Linked DNA regions of Saccharomyces cerevisiae S288C. The gene in region 1 interacts genetically with each later gene. Each region holds a gene or a part of one and is shown in the gene's direction. Other genes may lie near its edges. The genes, in order: ICS3, ERS1, YLR363W-A and AAT1.

What was found.
Region 2: mutations in ICS3 (region 1) and ERS1 together harm fitness more than expected from each alone (negative genetic interaction), as found in Saccharomyces cerevisiae (2 studies listed by BioGRID).
Region 3: mutations in ICS3 (region 1) and YLR363W-A together harm fitness more than expected from each alone (negative genetic interaction), as found in Saccharomyces cerevisiae (one large-scale study listed by BioGRID).
Region 4: mutations in ICS3 (region 1) and AAT1 together harm fitness more than expected from each alone (negative genetic interaction), as found in Saccharomyces cerevisiae (one large-scale study listed by BioGRID).

What each region holds. Positions count from the first base shown.
Region 1 is NC_001142.9:294,151-296,725, reverse strand, and holds ICS3 (Ics3p), read left to right. Parts: upstream 1-1,664; coding exon 1,665-2,060; downstream 2,061-2,575. Other genes in the region: NET1 (Net1p), read right to left, coding at 1-1,481; YJL077W-A (uncharacterized protein), read right to left, coding at 1,841-1,927.
Region 2 is NC_001135.5:247,489-250,427, reverse strand, and holds ERS1 (cystinosin-like protein ERS1), read left to right. Parts: upstream 1-1,612; coding exon 1,613-2,395; downstream 2,396-2,939. Other genes in the region: deadenylation-dependent mRNA-decapping factor PAT1, read left to right, coding at 1-190; FUB1 (Fub1p), read left to right, coding at 383-1,135; EGO2 (Ego2p), read right to left, coding at 1,226-1,453; SOL2 (Sol2p), read right to left, coding at 2,518-2,939. UniProt on the Saccharomyces cerevisiae protein: Cystine/H(+) symporter that mediates export of cystine, the oxidized dimer of cysteine, from vacuoles/endodomes.
Region 3 is NC_001144.5:851,383-854,218, forward strand, and holds YLR363W-A (uncharacterized protein), read left to right. Parts: upstream 1-2,078; coding exon 2,079-2,336; downstream 2,337-2,836. Other genes in the region: mitogen-activated protein kinase kinase kinase STE11, read left to right, coding at 1-637; NMD4 (Nmd4p), read right to left, coding at 1,113-1,769; glutathione-disulfide reductase GRX8, read left to right, coding at 2,680-2,836.
Region 4 is NC_001143.9:235,743-239,454, forward strand, and holds AAT1 (aspartate transaminase AAT1), read left to right. Parts: upstream 1-1,793; coding exon 1,794-3,149; downstream 3,150-3,712. Other genes in the region: SLD2 (Sld2p), read left to right, coding at 1-45; YKL107W (putative short-chain dehydrogenase/reductase), read left to right, coding at 399-1,328; YKL106C-A (uncharacterized protein), read right to left, coding at 1,405-1,524; SEG2 (Seg2p), read right to left, coding at 3,443-3,712. UniProt on the Saccharomyces cerevisiae protein: Plays a key role in amino acid metabolism. Important for metabolite exchange between mitochondria and cytosol.

The sequences.
Region 1 (2,575 bases):
CTTGGTGGTTGATGTTCTTGTTGCTTTCCCCAGGATTCGCCATTTGAAGATTTGGTGATCGAGGTATTGCTTGCCTTGGGAAGTTCTGCTAAATGCACATTGTGTGGCATGGCATCACCGAGAGGACTATTTTTCACCGGAGAGCCATTATTATCTGCGATGGAGCTTTGACTACGTTGCAAGGAAGCCTTTGAATGTGGTTCTGTTTCAGGAGTTTCTTGGTTTTCGCTACTTGAGCTATCGTCGGATTCGTAGTTCTCGCCATTTTCCAAGTAAGGTTTTTTCATTGGAATCTTTGCAGCTTTAGCGGGTAAAATGGAGGCCGGACTGGAAGGTCCCTCTTTTAACTCTTTTTCAATCTCTGAGATTCTTGGCTCGGGGATTTTCAACATTCCTGATGTTATTCTTGGAGTGGTTACGGGTGGTTTCCTATTAATGTCCTGAGCAGTGACAGCAGCTGTGCCACCATTAGCAAATGAAGAGGAAGAAGCTGAAGCAGAGAAAACCAATTCGTTTTTATGTGCGTGTTCAGAAACCACTCTCTGACCGGTAAGAGTAACTCTGTTTGGAGTCATGGTGGACATTATAGGAGTTCCGGACAATAGACGTTGCTGCTTTGTTTTATCTGGATCCACGGTTGCTGATCTGGACACGATATCTTCCTCGACGATGCTTGATTTTATTTTTTTACCTGCGTCAATGCCCGAACTAATTCTTATGGGAGGTGACTGAGGCTGCGTTGGAGGCGGCAAAAAGGATCTTTCACCAATGTCTTCGTCTTCGTCATCTGAGTTGTTGGAGACGATCTTCGAAGAAGGTGGAGGATAAATTTGCCTAGCCAATGGGGTAGAAACCCTCATGGATCCATTAGTGGCACTACGAATGGTTGTTGTTGTCGTGGTTCCTGTAGGTGGCCTCTTCTTGGCAATCCGAAGAACACCTGAAGAGGACGGGATTTGTTGTTGCGGCTGCACCGACTGGGGCGACCCGTTGTTCAACTTGGATCGTTTTACCGACTTATAAAGTGACACTGGTGCGGAATCGTCCAGATCTATCTCATTCTTCAATATAACTCTTACGATATTATTTACATTGAAAACGTCCTTTACCAAAAAATCCGGATCAAGGTCACAACCGCTGTTATCTTGCAAACTCAAAATTTCAATGTCTTCTTGCAAACTCGGGTACATTTTTTCACACTTATCGATGATTTCATCACTCAAGTTCAACAGCGTGTTTGTCGGCTTGGTAAACAAAAGAAACTTCCTAAACCTAGACTGGTTGAAATAGCTTGGCGTGAAACTCACATTGGCAGATCTCAGATTAGCATACTGCAAAGAGGCATCTCCGGCGCTTTGCGCCATATTAGTTCTGTTTGGCAACAATTGAGAAGATTCGGCGATGGTTGGTCCGTAGCCAAACTGTATTGGCATCGTCGCCTGAAGACTCGGAGGCACCAAGACCACTTGTAGCTTGTACATAGAAGGAGGCACGGTGTACAGTAATCGACTTCTCTCTGTTTCAGGCGAACCGAGACTAGGGATTCGATCAGCTCCGGCACTTATTTCATCGTGCTAGCTACTCTTCACTAGTTATTCAAATTGATTATTGACGCTTACCATGAAAAAGAAAAAAAGTTCAAAACATGTGGAACGGGTAACATAATGCACATATCGCTCCCTACGAGAAACAAATCTTATTTTCGAATACGTACACGTACATATCAAATAGGCTTATATCATTCTGACTCTTCACCAATCAGGGACATATCAGTACTACATCTGTTAATAGCAACGTTATGCACTATTTTTTTTCCAATTTTTTTTTCGTTGAGTAAAGTTCAGGTCGTACAGTGGCAAGGAACGACTATTTCTAAAAACTGTATTGCCTTAACCATGTCTTTCCCCTTGAACGCTATCCCTGGCATGTATCTGATAATTGCTTTCCCTCGTCTACAAACAGTAATTCCCCTGCAGCGAAATACTCCTGTTCGAATTACGAAATCGGTGATAGTGAAAGGCGCAGTGAGCGTGCCACGGATCTCCTCTCCGATGCACTAGGGTCCTGTTCCGTGCTCTGGTATCTCGATTAGGAAAGCGGAAGAAAAGAACGGAGGATACCTCTAATTAAGAGGGTCCGTTGTGTTGTGTTAAGCTCGGGTATAGGAAACTTGAAGAGAGGCGAAAAAAACCCAACGATGTGAGGAACGCGTCGCTATTGTTGGTAAGTTTGGCCGAAAAATTGTTTTTCTTCGCACATGGCTGGTTCTGCTGGAGGCGGCTGGGTGTTTATAGTTACCGCAATGCAGGTCGCTTCGTTTACTTTTCTCTGCGTGCTCGAGAACTGATAAATACTGGTTTAGGAAAACCGTCCACTTATGGATTTAACAAGGAGGTGAAAGGTAGGTACCATGGCAATATAGCTAGCAACGCTACGCACTAGCTGTGTGTGCTTGCTCTCTTGTGTTCGTCTTTCGTATATTGCGGGTTCCCGCGGTTAATTCAACAACAAATATGGTATCTAGGCAGGGACCCAGCAACGGAAGGATGTAATTGCTATATAGGGCCGATGAAAC
Region 2 (2,939 bases), on another chromosome or scaffold:
TATTAACGAGGCGGAGACCTTACAAAAGAAAGAGAAAGAATTGAGTGTATTACCTCAGAGGTCTCAAGAATTAGACACAGAGTTAAAATCTATTATTTATAATAAAGAGAAACTATACCAAGATTTGAATTTGTTCCTAAACGTTATGGGGTTGGTGTATCGCGATGGTGAAATATCAGAACTAAAGTAAGATTTTTCCTGTAATTTTAATGTACTTACGCATGTATTTTTTTTTCTCCCTTATTTTTTATTTCCTACCCTTTGTAGATCATTTATTGTATATGTTTTTATATAAGTTTATATAAGTTTGTTATCCTTTTTTTTTCATAAAAAACCCGTATTAGCATCAATAATACCACCATAGTAACGCAAGAGTTAAACAATGATTGAGAATAAGGTTGAACTGGTAGCAGAACTAGTGTTGGAGTCCATCGGTAAAACTGAGGTGGTGTCACGCCATACAGAGGGAACCAAATCATGCCAAGTGAGTTTTCGCATTAAAGATTCTCCCAGTGAGAAGGGTTCAACATCGTTTCTCTCTGAGCTAGTGGTGATTCAGACTCTGGATGACAATGACAAGTATACTGTTGTTATTCGTCATGGTACGTCGATCACCATGGCATGTGTGGTGGGTTACAGCGATTTTAAATTGCCCACAGAATTGAAATGGCCACTAGAAAGAGAAAGCTTACCTGTGGAGCCAGACCTGAAACCTATAATGACACAACTTAAAAGACAAACTGCAGGTAGTGCGGACATGCCAAAATTTGACGATGAGTACCAGGCACAAGCAAGACAAAACCAGGGAACAGCACCGTTGAACCCATATCCCGGACTTACGGTAACTGAACCGAGCTTCGCTAACCCAGCAGGAGGGTATGCGGATGGTGATCTGTATCCTGTTGGCACAAGCCATCCGGATTGGTCTGGAGGGCTTCCCAATCCTCTGGGGAATCCAAGTAGCCAAGGCGGTATGATTTTCGATCCAAATAGAAGACCTGCCCCAAGACGGGAAGATATGCCGCCAGGATGGATGCCTGGATCCAAGTACGACGAACCATTTGGTCCTGGATCTGGCGGATTTGGAGGTTCAGGATCCGGCGGATTTGGAGGGTCAGGATCTGGCTTTATTTAAATGGGTGTTTATTTTAGTACTTTGTTTATTGTGATATTTAGTTTTTAGATAGTATACAGACATAGCTATGTCGAAAGGGAAGGAAAGAATTTATTGAGCGCTGGTATATACAGCTAAAGTGATATCATTGCGTTTGTACAGGTGTACGAGTAGCGAATCTCCTTGAACTTGAGCAAAACCTTCTGCATCCAGCGTAACTTTCGATAAATCACCGATATCTTCGATCCTTTGACTGCCCACGCCGGTAGACTCTATAACGTTACCGTGAGTATCGAAAGCAATGGTTCCCTTAATATCAGATTGTTTTTCCGCTTCCATCTTTGATTTGGTTTAGGTGATTTGGTTTGAGGTTGTGGTATTGCCCTTTAATAGCGGAATCCTTTATATTTTTTGATAATCTTGAAATTTTAAGGTGAGTTTCCATATGTAAACAAGGGAAGAAAAACTAAAAGCAAACAAAAGCAAACGCGAAGCAAAATGGTGTCGTTAGACGATATACTAGGTATCGTGTATGTTACGTCATGGTCGATATCGATGTATCCACCGATAATCACCAATTGGCGCCATAAGTCAGCGAGCGCGATATCGATGGATTTTGTCATGTTAAATACGGCAGGTTACTCTTACCTGGTCATATCCATATTTTTGCAATTGTACTGCTGGAAAATGACGGGTGATGAGTCTGACTTGGGCAGGCCCAAGTTGACGCAATTTGATTTCTGGTATTGCCTGCATGGGTGCTTGATGAATGTTGTCTTATTGACCCAGGTGGTAGCTGGAGCGAGAATCTGGCGATTTCCAGGTAAAGGTCACCGCAAGATGAATCCATGGTACCTAAGGATTTTACTCGCATCACTGGCCATTTTTTCACTGCTAACCGTACAATTTATGTACTCCAACTACTGGTACGATTGGCATAACTCAAGAACTCTGGCGTATTGCAACAATTTGTTTTTACTCAAAATATCGATGTCACTAATCAAGTACATCCCACAAGTGACGCATAACTCGACAAGAAAATCTATGGATTGTTTCCCCATTCAGGGTGTGTTTCTAGATGTCACTGGCGGTATCGCCTCGCTGCTCCAATTGATTTGGCAGTTGTCTAACGATCAAGGTTTCAGTCTGGATACGTTCGTGACAAATTTTGGAAAAGTGGGACTGTCAATGGTAACTTTAATATTCAACTTCATCTTTATCATGCAGTGGTTTGTATATCGATCTCGAGGCCATGATCTGGCGTCAGAGTACCCGCTGTAGCACACAAGGAGAAATCTGCATAATTACGCATATATATATATATATATATATACATAAATATACATAAATATATGTATGTATGTATGTATGTGTGTATGTATGTATGTACACACATGCATGGTTTAAATAGACAAACCTTGGTGGAATTTATACTTTTTTTTGGTGACGAGGACGTCCGTAAGAGCATCGTCGTCAACAAACCATGATACACGACCAGCAGCACCTTCGTTGACAATACTGCTAGGTAGGCCCTTTTCAGGCCTTTCCATAATGGTCTTGATGATGGGCGCCTTGGTTGCACCTTCGACAACGAAAGTAACCCTGTGAGAATGGCAGATTACAGGTATAGTCAGCGAAATTCTGGTCGAGGGCCCACTAGGAGCGTTCTCCACGGGCACCACCCATGCAAGTTTCTCACGTAGATTGTCCTGGAAGTTAGGGAAGAGTGATGCGATATGACCATCGGGGGCACAACCAAGCAGGAACAAGTCGAACATCGGAAGTTTGACGGAATCTCTACCGGCAAACCCGCGGATTAGCACCT
Region 3 (2,836 bases), on another chromosome or scaffold:
TTTATTGAAGGAGTTACATCATGAGAACATTGTTACTTATTATGGTGCTTCTCAAGAAGGCGGAAATTTAAATATTTTTCTTGAATACGTTCCTGGGGGTTCGGTTTCCTCCATGCTGAATAATTACGGTCCATTTGAGGAATCACTGATTACTAATTTCACTAGGCAAATACTGATTGGGGTTGCGTATTTGCATAAGAAGAACATTATTCACAGAGATATCAAGGGTGCAAATATTTTGATTGATATCAAAGGTTGCGTAAAAATTACTGATTTTGGTATTTCAAAAAAATTATCACCTTTGAATAAAAAACAAAATAAGAGAGCTTCTTTGCAAGGTTCCGTATTCTGGATGTCACCAGAGGTGGTCAAACAGACCGCTACTACTGCTAAAGCGGATATATGGTCTACAGGATGTGTTGTCATTGAAATGTTTACCGGTAAGCATCCTTTCCCAGATTTTTCTCAAATGCAAGCGATCTTCAAAATAGGCACAAACACGACCCCCGAGATACCTTCCTGGGCTACGTCAGAAGGAAAGAATTTCTTAAGAAAGGCATTTGAGTTGGATTATCAATACAGGCCTAGTGCCCTTGAATTGCTGCAGCATCCATGGCTGGATGCACACATAATTTGAAAAAGGGCTACTTATTAATTCTTTTTATGGCACTAAAGTGCTCTGGCCGATTTTTTATCAAATAATACATATATATCATATTTAGTGACATTTATTGAATATATCTGCTATTTACCGGTTTTTTTTTTTCAATTACGCTGATTAAGTAATCATAAATCACAATTGTGAAAAAAAGACCAAACTAGATGACGGTATTTGATTCTCATACCCCTGGAATAAAATCAAGTAAGATAATTCTGATAAAAAAATCCGACCGCACAGATGGAAGCACGAAGAAACAGGCCTTTCTTTGCGAGGTGATATCAAACCATTGATATCTTCTCAATAACCTGCTCTAGGAAAAGGAGGTAGATAGACAAAAGCAAGGAAATAATCCATAGAGTTTCATTCACATGAATAATCTGTTACCAATTTTTCTCATAAGATAAAGCCATCTATCAAAAATGATATTGAAATATTTGAAAAATGCTTGTTTTTATGGGGACCACAATTCGCCTGTACCTCTAGAAGCGTAAACTGTTTTATTGAAGTTAGTCCTGATAATTTCTCTACCGTTTTCGCTTTCTTCCTTAGTGCCATTTTTTAGCATCATATTATTGAATTTTTCACTTTCTCTAAATGATTTATCATTCATGTCCTTGGACAAGATTGAATCTACATCAACAATTGAACAGGAAGGAATATTGCATTGCATGGCCATTTCCCGGATTTGAGGATCTTCACTAATTAAAAACCAATGTAGCCCCTCATTTCCTTCTAGGTAGCATTTGTAAATACAACTTTTCAACAAATTCTTTAATCTCTTAGGCAATTTTGCAATATTAATCTTTCCAGAACTATCATTATGTTCCATTACATCTGACCATAAAATAATGTCTAAAACTTCGGGAAATTCGATAAAAACTTTCAAATTAGCAAATTTAGAATCATCTAATCTATCGATAAACTTCAAGGATTCTCGAGCTGCAAAACTTTTACGCCTTTGTTGAAGGAAATCCAATTCATTTAATGTGAATGTTGGAATATAAAAGTTCAAAGTCACAGCTTCTGTACAGTCCGAGCACCACCTCTTGATGTTGCCTAGACCCTTTTCAAAAGCTGAAGCATCTATAATGAAATTATATTGTGTCATTAACCTGCTTTTTGAGGAGACCAAAATTGGAAAGAAAGAAGGTGCTTATATTTCACGAATGAATGATATTAGCAGGTGTAATATTCTTCTATAACACCACTACACTAACTTTTAAATTAAAGCGCTCTTCATTGTTACTTCAAATCAATTTCTGAGATTATGAAAGTCGTCACGTTTTACGAAGGTATTGAATTTTTCAGGTTCTTTTGGAAAATAGTAGTATACATCAGTTTATTAACGATGAGATGGTATTATTACTTGCACCTTTTGTAAAGATAACTAGTATTCATAAAGTCCATAAGCTACAATATGCCTCAAAAACCACTTAAAGTTACTAAGAAAGCCAAGGACCCCCGTAGGGTCACAAAGAAACAAAAAAATTTGAGAAAAGCTGCCCCATTGCAATTGAAATCAAAAAAGAAATCTTTGCAACATCTGAAGAAATTGAAAAAGAGCTCTTCCCTTACCGAAACCACTGAAAGATTAGTTGCGAGTAAAGTCGGGCATTTGGAGTTGTTGAGAGGTACTAGAAAGGAGTTGGAAAAAGGTAAGAAGAACTCTAAATGATTTCAAGTGAATAAGATTCGCCCATCATTGAAAGGTATTTATTTTCGGGTAAGGACTATCTAGGTACATCTCATCAAATTTTTTATAGTCCAATTTGATCCTAGTGTTTGTATATTAGCTTTGTAACTTCTAAGTTATCCAATAGAAAAAATGCGTTGCTTTTTTGTTTCCCGCGAGAAATTTAACAATATGGTGAATTAAGTGTTGATGCCACAGTTTGTAAAAAAAATCGACACAGGTTTGCTATTTAAGCAGACGTAAGTGTTGTAAAATTATGTATTCCCAGTTTGGCCAGAAGAGGAGTAAATATCGCATATTTATAGAATAAGTACAACATCAAATAATGTCTGCCTTTGTTACTAAAGCTGAAGAGATGATCAAATCTCATCCATATTTCCAGTTATCCGCCAGCTGGTGCCCCGACTGCGTCTATGCTAATTCCATTTGGAATAAGTTGAATGTACAGGACAAAGTTTTCGTTTTTGATATTGGTTCACTTC
Region 4 (3,712 bases), on another chromosome or scaffold:
CCAAAGAAAAACCGATTCTCTAATGGACGATGGGGAAGAAGGTGAGCGTGATGGCGTAAATAATACAAACATTTGTAATTTATAGAAACCTATTAAGTATTCAGTTAGATTCCTTCAGCTGCATGACGTATAGTTTATATGGACATCATACGTATTTTTATCAATATAGAGACTAGCATGTTTTTACACTTTTTATTTTTGTTGTTCAATTAGGGGCCTCGTCCATATATGTATATATATTACATAATCTGCAATCATCAATTAGGGGAGGAATAATCGGCAGAGGTATAAATACAAAATTTAAAACAATTCAAGTGAATGAAAAGGTGAACCAACAAACAGAATATTACCACGTATCAAGGAAAAACTAATAATAGTATATTGGCGCATTTAGCAGGATGTTCTGGAAAAAGGATCCCACCGTCAGTTGGGAAAGAAAAAATATCAATGACATTGATTTTAGTCGTTTTAATGTGGCCATAATTGGTGGCACAGGTGGACTTGGACGTGCAATAAGTAGAGAGCTGGCCCAAAGAAATGCCAGGGTTACTGTTGTCGGGCAAACTTTTAGGGACGAGGACCTAAAAGATAAAATTAACTTTGTCAAGGCTGATTTAAGTTTAGTGTCAGAATGCAAGCGTATATCTCATAGTGATGAAATTCCCTACGAGGAGTTAACACATCTGATTTTCACTACGGGTATTTTTGCATCACGCCAGAGACAAGCTACAAGTGAGGGTTTGGAAAAAGACATGGCAGTGAGCTATTTGAGTAGATACATTATCTTCCATGATGTGGCGAAGCGATTAGGAATTAGTAGGACAAAAAAAGACGATTTGCCAAAAGTTTTCATAGCAGGGTTTCCAGGAAATGGTCAGGTGGGAGACCCAGATGACTTGAATTCTGATGAAAAGAAGTATAGTGCCTACGCTACACATATGAACACTGTGGCAGCCAATGAAAGTCTGGTCATAGACGCTAAAGACAGATACACGAATATAGATACTTTCGGTTTGAACCCTGGGCTGATCAAAACGAACATTCGTAATAATCTTCTTGGCAGTGACACCTACCTCAGCCGCATTACAGAATGGATAATCAGCTGGACCTGTCAAAGCGCAGAGACGTATGCGAAAACAATATGCACCCTGATTGCGAGCCCCGCTATCGAATCACGCAGTGGTACAATGTTCAGCAACAAAGGCGATGCTATTTTACCTTCGCCTGGTTTGACCAAAGATGTTGTTGAGAAGTTTATGGAAAATTCGGAACTTCTAGTTGAAAAGGCCTTGCGTAATCAAAGTCCTTTCACTTCCAGTAACGAATGACTTGCTGTAACTAATTGGTTTATATTTAAATATTTCACTTTTTAAAGGGCGTTTGCATGCGACCATCGTCGATGATTCATATTGTTCGGATGCGGAAGATGGCTTCCATGAGTTTTGCACGCCGTCTCATGTGATTGTTGGAGTCATAGCTCGCATATCTTCCTATTGTCAGATGTAATATCGACGGAAATGGCATCTTGGAGTATGGAAGCACTATTCTGCTTTGCTCCAATATTTAGGATGCCGCATTTTTCATATTTTTTTTTACATTTTTCGCTTACGTATATAAATTGCTAGCAAGTATTCGCTCTCTCTGTCTTGGTTATCTAATTGCTAACCGTCGCAATTGAAAAGAAAAAAAAAATACAGAATAGACGATAGCGGATTGAACGATAGCATACTATTGAGTGCGTTTTCCCTTCTCATTTGAAAATTACTATCCGTTTTTCACTGCCGAAAGACTTGATGTTGAGGACGAGGCTTACTAATTGCAGTCTATGGAGGCCCTACTACACGTCATCGCTTAGTAGAGTACCAAGAGCACCTCCAGATAAAGTCTTGGGGTTATCTGAACACTTCAAAAAGGTAAAAAATGTTAACAAAATTGACCTGACCGTAGGAATATATAAAGATGGTTGGGGCAAAGTGACGACGTTTCCCTCCGTTGCAAAAGCTCAAAAATTGATTGAATCTCATTTAGAGTTGAATAAGAATCTTTCATATTTACCAATAACAGGTTCCAAAGAATTTCAGGAAAACGTTATGAAATTTTTGTTCAAGGAATCATGTCCGCAGTTTGGGCCATTTTATTTAGCCCATGATAGAATCAGCTTTGTTCAGACTTTGAGTGGTACAGGCGCCCTAGCTGTAGCAGCTAAATTCTTGGCATTATTTATTTCAAGAGATATTTGGATACCTGACCCATCATGGGCAAATCATAAGAACATTTTTCAGAACAATGGTTTTGAAAATATTTACCGGTATTCCTATTATAAGGACGGTCAGATAGACATCGACGGATGGATTGAGCAATTGAAAACCTTTGCATATAACAACCAGCAAGAAAACAATAAGAACCCACCTTGCATAATCTTGCATGCGTGTTGTCACAACCCTACAGGTCTCGACCCAACTAAAGAGCAATGGGAAAAGATTATAGATACTATATATGAGCTAAAAATGGTACCCATTGTTGATATGGCTTATCAGGGTTTAGAGTCTGGTAACTTACTAAAGGACGCATATTTATTGAGGCTATGTCTCAATGTAAATAAATATCCAAATTGGAGTAACGGTATCTTTCTTTGTCAATCTTTTGCCAAGAACATGGGCCTTTATGGTGAACGAGTTGGTTCCTTAAGCGTTATCACGCCGGCAACTGCGAACAATGGAAAGTTCAACCCTCTACAACAGAAAAACTCATTGCAGCAAAATATTGACTCCCAATTAAAAAAGATTGTCAGAGGTATGTATTCTTCTCCACCAGGATACGGTTCTCGTGTGGTAAATGTAGTATTATCAGATTTCAAATTGAAACAGCAATGGTTCAAGGATGTTGATTTCATGGTTCAGAGATTGCATCACGTCAGACAGGAGATGTTTGACCGTCTAGGGTGGCCGGATCTTGTAAATTTCGCACAACAGCACGGTATGTTTTACTATACAAGGTTTAGTCCAAAGCAAGTCGAAATATTGAGAAACAATTACTTCGTCTATTTAACAGGTGATGGTAGATTGTCGCTTAGCGGAGTCAATGATTCGAACGTTGATTACTTATGTGAATCTCTTGAAGCAGTCTCGAAAATGGACAAACTCGCATAATTTTTTCACCTTACAGTTCACCTTTGTCTTTATTTTTTTATTACTTTTCCCTTCTCATTTTGCCACACAATAATTTATAGAATATAATAATTTTTTGTAATAATTAATAAACCTTTTTTTTATCTACTCTATATACACTTTTCAGATAACTAGATTGGATTAATTCGTGATCGAACTAGTTATTAAATTTTAAATGAAAAGAAAGCTAGCGCTAGCCAACTATTTTAATTACGGTGGCAGTGCATCATATCCTTACATTTCATTTTAGGTTTCCTATGTTTTCTTCTTTCAAATCATTTCCTGCCAAAAATTTTTTTCAGTTTCCTACCGAATTTACTGTGACCGTGACGGTCATGCGACTTATCTTTTATAGCTGCATCATCGTTATGAAGCTTGTGTATCTCTCCATTTTTATCAATGATAGTCACCGGAACGCTTAATGGTAAGGCTGTAGGCAGGTCAGGATTTGATGACTCCAAAGTGGCTGTTCCACCAGATATGTTCCTATTTGACAATTGGCTTTTATTTCCGAATAATGAAAACCGGTGGCCTTCTGTACCAGC